2 linked regions of the Oryzias latipes genome follow. The protein of the gene in region 1 interacts with the protein of each later gene in a biochemical or structural test. Links are inferred from orthologs where the notes say so. Each region holds a gene or a part of one and is shown in the gene's direction. Other genes may lie near its edges.

Region 1 (2,916 bases):
TCTCAAATCAGACAACGTGCTGCTGGAGTTTGACTCGGGTGAGCTCTAGAACCAGACTTTGATTGGAAAAACACCTTATTTAACATCAGCTGCTCCACGGATTTGTCTTATTTTTGTTTGTTTTTATGCACAGATGGTTGCCCCCGTTTAGTGATCACAGACTTCGGCTGCTGTCTGGCTGAAAGTGAGCAGAGTTTGCAGCTGCCCTTCAACAGCCAGTGGGTGGACAGAGGGGGGAATGCCTCTCTTATGGCCCCTGAGGTATAAATACTTTATTTTTGTTTTAAATAATCTTCATATGGTGGTTTTTATAAAGAAGACTAAAGGACTGGCTTACATATGAGCATGTCTTAATTGTCATGGATCCCAATGACTGAGTGATCATGACTTCTGTTTTTATTCAAATGCCAAGTGTTTACGACCACCTGATCATCAAAACAGAAGTGGTTTATTAAGAAAATGTCTCTGTCATAATCATAAAAACATGCATTATCCATGCGAAACACCATGACTTCCTGTTTGAAGCAGGTCCAAAAACAAAAGTATCTGCTGCCAGATCAGGTTATCAAGTGACCACTTCCTGGCTTGTTGTAATATGTCCATTTCCATTGATTTCAATGTAAGATGCCCCAACCAATGATTGACGTTAGTAAAACGTAATACATTTATTATAAAAATCATAAAATTGTGTATTTTAGCATCAAGTAAAAGAGATAAAGATGGCGTAAAAAAGAAAAAATTGAGTCCCCAACATATTTCCCTGTGGTACTCCATAAAACTAAAATACAAGAGATGTATTAATTGGCTGTGTCACAGTTCACTTAGCTGTTTGATCACTACTTTACTAATTTGGATAGACCGTTTGGTGTAGTGTCTGCAGGCTGCAGGGGCTCATCGTCTCTCTGTGCGTTTCTGGCATTAGGTGGCCTCTGCAGTCCCTGGGCGCAGAGTCGTGATCGACTACAGCAAGGCCGATGCGTGGGCTGTGGGCGCCATTTCCTACGAGATTTTTGGTGAACCAAATCCATTCTACCATGCTGTTGGACTGCATAGCATCAGCTACCAGGAGAAGCAGCTCCCTATCCTGCATTCCAGTGCCCCCGCTGATGTGCAGTTAGTGATTCGATTACTCCTCAGGAGGAGTCCTACAAAGGTAAAGCAAAGTTTTTTTCAAAATGGTTGAATTCATGTAATCATTATTGTTAATAATTACATAAATAGGAGCAGATATAGCGATAATCTAATAAATTCAATGTGTTTGTCTTATCTCTGCCGTGTAGCGCCCCAGTGCTCGTGTAGCAGCAAACATGCTGCACCTCACCCTTTGGGGTCAGAGGATTCTGGATAAACAGGGAAATGCTGGCATGAGAAAGCTGGCTGAGTGGTTACTGTGCCAGTCTGCTGTGGTTCTGCTGAAGGGCTGCAGTGGACCTGCTGGGAACAGGGTGGAGGCGGAGCTTCAGAGGAACTTCCTGAGGAACCTGGAGCTTGAGGAGCTGCGCACAGCGATGGGCTTCCTCATCTACGGACGAAACCAGCACACGGCCCGCATCCCGTCTGCTTAGATGTCTTTAATTTTGCAACCAGAGCTGAGCAGATATCTATGATAGTTTTTCTGCGGTTATATGTTCTCAGACACTTTATTAAAGTTGGGAGGTTGTATATGCTGCTTTTGAAGTTGAATAATCCTGACGTATTAAAGACGCTCCTGATGCTTCTCTGAAACTGCGTTTACACCGGGCATGTGATGCGCGTTCAAGACGCGTTTTTGAAGGCACATTTAGCAGGAAAAAAACTGTTTTCCCCCCACTGTTTACTGACATGTCCACCACCAACAGTTGGAAATGTCAAAGCGGTGCAAATCCATGCTTTATTCCGACATACAAAAGACCTGGTGTCGTATAATTTTGGCTATTTCAGCTCGACCTGGTTTAACTTTCAACACGGGTTTAATGGCCGTGCGTTTTGTATGTAGAGCTCAAAAATTGTCTTTAAAATGTACGTAGCGACACGTGAATGCAAAGGTTTTAAGCGCTAGCCTGAAATGCGCATTTACGCGTGTCTATGTAGACTTTTTATTGGAAGTGCTGCTTGAACGCGCATTGCAGAGGGCGGTGTGAACATGGCTTTAAAGTTTTCATGCACTCTGATACTGTTGCGCCGCTCGAGGTTGACTCGCCTGTGCCCTGGATCCCCTTCAATGTACTTTAAAAAACGTTGCACTATTTTTCTCTGCTGTGTAGTCATAAAGGTTCACATTTATTTATCAGCGTGTGTGTCAGGTTGCAGTCCCTGCATGTCTCCTGCATGTTTAATGATCGATGTGACTTTGTTCCTGTTTGCACTTTTTAACAGAAAAACTAACAAGATTGTCAGTTATTATGGAATCACTCAGTAAATTTCGAAAAATAACTGTTGATAATTTGAGATTAAAGCGGGTTTGTAACTCCCAGGAAGTTATTCTATAAAAAGAATGTATAATTTATCTTCTTTCTCTTTCGGCTTTTCCCATCAGGGGTCGCCACAGCGAATCATCCTTTTCCACCTCACTCTATCATGAACATCTTCTACCCTAACATTAGCCAACTTCATGTCCTCTGTTAAGACATCCATATATCTCCTCTTTGGCCGTCCTCTTGCCCTCCGGCCAGGCAGCTCCATCTCCAACATCCTTCTACCAATATATCCACTATCCCTCCTCTGAACATGTCCAAACCATCTCAGTCTGGCTTCTCTGACTTTGTCGCTAACACAGGCAACATGAGCCGTCCCTCTGATGTACTCGTTCCTTATCCTGTCTAACCTGGTCATTCCTAAGGAGAACCTCAACATCTTCATCTCCGCTACCTCCATCTCAGCCTCTTGTCTCTGTCTCACTGCTACCGTCTCTAACCCATAGAGCAGAGCTGGTCTCAC
Region 2 (4,433 bases), on another chromosome or scaffold:
TTGCATTTGTAAAAAAATAAAAAGTCATATTTGTGTTGTTGAAACTGCACTGGGCGGCCCACAAGCTCCCTGCTTCTAGCGCTCCGAAAGGGAAAGGGGGCGGAGTTGCTCCGTGCCAGTGGTCCCGCCCACAATTCAGCTCTGCAGAAACTATGTCCTAAGAAAAACAACACAGGCTTTTTTTGTATTTTGACTAAAAGCAGCATAAACGGGATTAAAAGATCACTTTGAAAATAGCTTCAAAGATGATCGGAGTGGGTCTTTAAAATGGCCTCTGCTGTTTTTATGTTGTTTTATAATGGAGTGTCATTTTCAACTTTTTTTTTTTTCTTGTTTTTCTTTCCCGCAGAGTTGGAGGAAGCTCTTCAGAGAAGTCTTGTGGAGTTCTAAGTGCTTTCTAAATGAAGTAGTTCCTGTTGTTCACCTGTCACGTTGACCTTTTTTACTCAAGGTCATTGTTTTCAGAAGTTATAAATAAAAGTCATGAATTATTTGAATTGATTTACTTCCTTTAGCAGCCAAAGTCAGCAGTTCTTGGGGCAGACAGTGGGTTTTAAAGCTAGTTAGAAGCTGAGGGTTTATAAAAAGTCAGACGTTCTAAACATTGAAGCTATGTGTCACGTGTTCACACACACACACACACACACACACACAGGATTGTGGTGACACAGCTAGATGCCTGGGCTGACCTCGTGACCGCAGACCAACCGCTCCTCCACCTCTCTGGTTTCACTACAGACGTGAGGATTCTCTTTACCGGCTGCTCAGACGTCAGAAATGAATGAGCAGAAATTGTATTTTTTCTACAGAAAAGTTTGTATGAAACATCATTACATGAGTTCAACTTAAAGAAAAAGGTTTTTTGTGTAAAAGTGTGAGTGAATAACAGGGACAGAACGGTTTTCCTAAAAAGTACTCTCTGTGAAAATATTTTTCTTTAATAAAGATATAATAACGGAGCATGACGTTTGGTCATTGAATGTTACATTTGATTATTTTGTTCGGAGAACAGAAAAAAAAAACAGTTTGGAGACCTGTTGGTTGGTAAAATAGATGGAATCTATCTTTGTGGCTTGAAGCAATAGAGATAATGGTAACAAGCACCTGTCACCTCATCAGCGCCCCCTAAAGGTGGTTTTGTTACATTGTGTCTTTGCTTTTTTCTTTTAACTAAAATGATGAAAAAGTGCCACTTGTACAAATTGATGAGAGTTGCAAATGTCATGTTTAACAAACCTGTATGAACTCTGCAAAAATATTATTCAAATCATGCAGAAAACAGTTATTGGACAATACTATTATTTTATATTTACTTGATGTATTCGTCTTTTAGTTTATTTTTATTTTCTAATCAATTTATGACAATTGTTTTTTTGCCTCCTAATTATATAAAAGTTCCAGAAAAAATAAGCTTTCTCTCCCCCTGTTCCCTTTTATCTCCCAGATATAAAATCTTGTGTAAAATAAAATCTGTTGTTTTATGGAAATTCAAATAAAGCATTTTAAAGCTAAAGCGCTCCTCACTCAGAGCCCCCTGTTGGAGCCCCCTGTCTGGGTTGGAGCCTCCTCTCTGGGTTCCTCGGGAAGTTTCTGTGAGGAGGAGGAAGAGGAGGAAGCTGAAGCCCATGTTAGGAAATGTTGTCCCAGGGGCGCTGCTGCCTGTAGCCTGAGGAATTACTGGTCAGGCGGAGAGCTTAAAGCGCCGCTCACTCTTTGGATTGACTGATCGGACTACAGAAACTCGGCACTGCAGCACTAATTATTATGGCTCAGGCGAAAATCCAGGCGAAGATGAACGAAGCGGTCTGCAGCAAGTTCAGCAGGACACTGTCCATGGCTGATCGCTCCGGAAGACTGCTGGAAACTCTGGATCAGCTGGAAATCAGGTACAATAACGGGCCTCGCCATGCGCGTCTTCTTTGGAGGTGCTCTCGTTCGTTTGACACTGTGGCGTAACTTTAACAACTGAACGTGATTGGAAGGAAAAAGAAAAGCTGTTTTTTTTTGACGGATGTTTGTTTTTGTCAGGGTGGAGGCTTTAAGAGAAACAGCATCCGCCCTGGAGCAGGAAAGAGAAGGCATCCTGGAAATGATTCAATCCATCCAGAACAGTCAAGAAATGCGTAACATCTGTGCGGGTGAGGCTGCTAATTCTCTCCCACAACTTACATAAGAGCACAAGTCATCCGCTGCTTAATACCAGTGAAGAGTGGCTTAACTTTCCAGTAATCTTAATTCCTGTTTTTTGCTACTTTGATCCTGTGGTGATAAAAGGAAAACTTTGCGTGATGGTCAAGAAACTGAAAAGAACAATGTGCTCCACCCAAAATGCATCACATGTCTCACCCATAGAGGTCCCATTTCACCTCTGTGTCTTTCTATTAAACCCTCTAAAAGGAACACACTATACTTCTGAGTCCAACATAGCAAGTTTACTACAAGATATAAACTTTTTTTCATGGTATAAGTAGAAAGAAAAATTCTGTTCTTTTCATGGTACCATATTATATTTACATATTCAACATAAGTCCACACATTTTCATGAATAGAAAGGAACAAAAAAAATGAAATTCTTGTTATATTTCTGCCCCTATATCAAATCTTAAAGACCCACTCAGGAAAATTGTGTTTTTGGTGTTTTTAACATGTTGTTGTGGTGTTTTTCTCAAAATGCAGGACATATAGAAAGAAAATTCAGCTCATATTTCCATTTCGGTGTATTTCTTTATTCAAATTGCAAAAGCAAAAATGCCATTTGAAAAAGCTTGTAGGTTTGACGTAGAAGCTAATACAGCAGACCACAAACGTCCTGCTCTTCTCTGCTCCATTCTGATGCATCCACTTGCGGACAAATAGATCCATGTAGGTCTTTTGTTTTCCTCATCCGAGTTGGCTTCCGGCTCAAAGCTGGACGGATGGATATCTCCATTCTTGCAGGCCATTTGAGTTGCATCAGTAATGTTACGTTGGGGTTATAAAGGGCTGTAAATTTGCAGGAGAGCGTTTAAACACATAGATGTCCGGAAGCAAGGGTGGGCTTACTCCACGCCTACGGCCCCACCTACAACTTAGAGGCAGATTTCTAATGAATTCCTGCCGCTCTGCAGAAATTATGTCCTAGAAAATGACACAGGATTTTTTTATTTGGGCTAAAAATGGTATAACTATAATTACAAAACCACTCGGAACACTTTGGAAATAGATCAAAAGACGATTTATTAACATAAAATACATCAAAATAAATGAAATGAGTCAAAAACAGGTTAATAATAATATTTTTTATGACAAATTAAAGCTCTAATTTCCTTTTCTTCTGCAGGAGAAAGGGAAGAGTTGAGCTTAACTGCGAACCGTCTGATGGGCCGGACTCTGACGGTGGAGATCTCCGTTGGCACCATTAGAAACCCCCAGCAGGAGGAGGCCCTGCGGAAAGCCACATCCATGATTGACGAAATCGTAAAAAAGTTGCTGGTCGACATGGAAGGCGGTCGGCAGCAGCTGATGGCGCTGCACGCCGCCTGCGTGACCGAAGCACCGCCTGTCCCCATCGATCAGAAGTTCCAGGTTGTGGTGATCAGCTGCTCTTTGGAGGACCAGAAGAAGATCAAACAGAGGCTGGAGACGCTGGTGAGGAATGTGGAAAACGCTGAAAAGAACATCAAAATTATGGATCATCAAAAACTGGAGAGTGCAAAAACCAACTGCAGTAGTTAATAATCATCACCAAAGCATGAAGGGTGTTTTTGAATTCCACTTTACCTCACAAAGGAGAGCTGCACAAGCATGACTCTTAGGGATCCATGCATTGTAACCAACCCTGAAAAGTACACTGGTACACATTTTTTTTGTAAAAAGGTCAATTTTTACTTTAAATTTTACTACACCGACATAGCTAAAGGGCACACAGTTCACAATGTATGTTCATCAATAAGCCCAAGAAAGAACAAATACAGATGCATCACAGATTGAAGTTCAACCTTTTGAAGACAATATATAATTTTGAGCACATTTTGCAGCAATTCAGTGCTCTGACATATGAGGTGATTGACAATGCAACAACCAGTATTTTACCAATACTGTGATCGTTAACGTTGAAAATAAAATTACAAACATGTCAAATGAAACCACCTGACAGGAAGTTCGTGGAATTTATCTCAGTTGTAGAAAGACTTTTTATTTGTCTTACAGTTTTAGTTGAAAGGATTTTTGACACAAACTCTGTACGCCTTCATCTTCTGCTGTTTTTTTTTTTGTTACATTTTTATGAAACACAAAGAAAGAAAGTCAATAAAAACTGTGAGAAGCCTCTGAATATGCAGTTTCTTGTTTTCACAAATGGGGAATCCTCCTTTATTTTGTCATTTGGTTTGATAAGAACCTAAAAGCACATGTACAGTTCATAAAATTGCACAAGTCAATGCTTACAATTGGGA

Evidence for each region. The genes of interacting proteins can lie anywhere in the genome.
Region 2: the proteins of pink1 (region 1) and bag2 form a complex in vitro, tested with the Homo sapiens proteins (2 studies listed by BioGRID). The link is inferred for Oryzias latipes from reciprocal best matches to the Homo sapiens genes PINK1 and BAG2.

Annotation. Positions count from the first base shown.
Region 1 is NC_019865.2:23,696,220-23,699,135, forward strand, and holds the end of pink1 (serine/threonine-protein kinase PINK1, mitochondrial), read left to right. Parts: coding exon 1-38; intron 39-133; coding exon 134-261; intron 262-922; coding exon 923-1,153; intron 1,154-1,280; coding exon 1,281-1,565; 3' UTR 1,566-2,269; downstream 2,270-2,916. UniProt on the Homo sapiens protein: Serine/threonine-protein kinase which acts as a sensor of mitochondrial damage and protects against mitochondrial dysfunction during cellular stress.
Region 2 is NC_019873.2:24,430,308-24,434,740, forward strand, and holds bag2 (BAG family molecular chaperone regulator 2), read left to right. Parts: upstream 1-1,610; 5' UTR 1,611-1,764; coding exon 1,765-1,886; intron 1,887-2,028; coding exon 2,029-2,138; intron 2,139-3,319; coding exon 3,320-3,714; 3' UTR 3,715-4,308; downstream 4,309-4,433. Other genes in the region: E3 SUMO-protein ligase ZNF451, read left to right, coding at 350-390. UniProt on the Homo sapiens protein: Co-chaperone for HSP70 and HSC70 chaperone proteins. Acts as a nucleotide-exchange factor (NEF) promoting the release of ADP from the HSP70 and HSC70 proteins thereby triggering client/substrate protein release.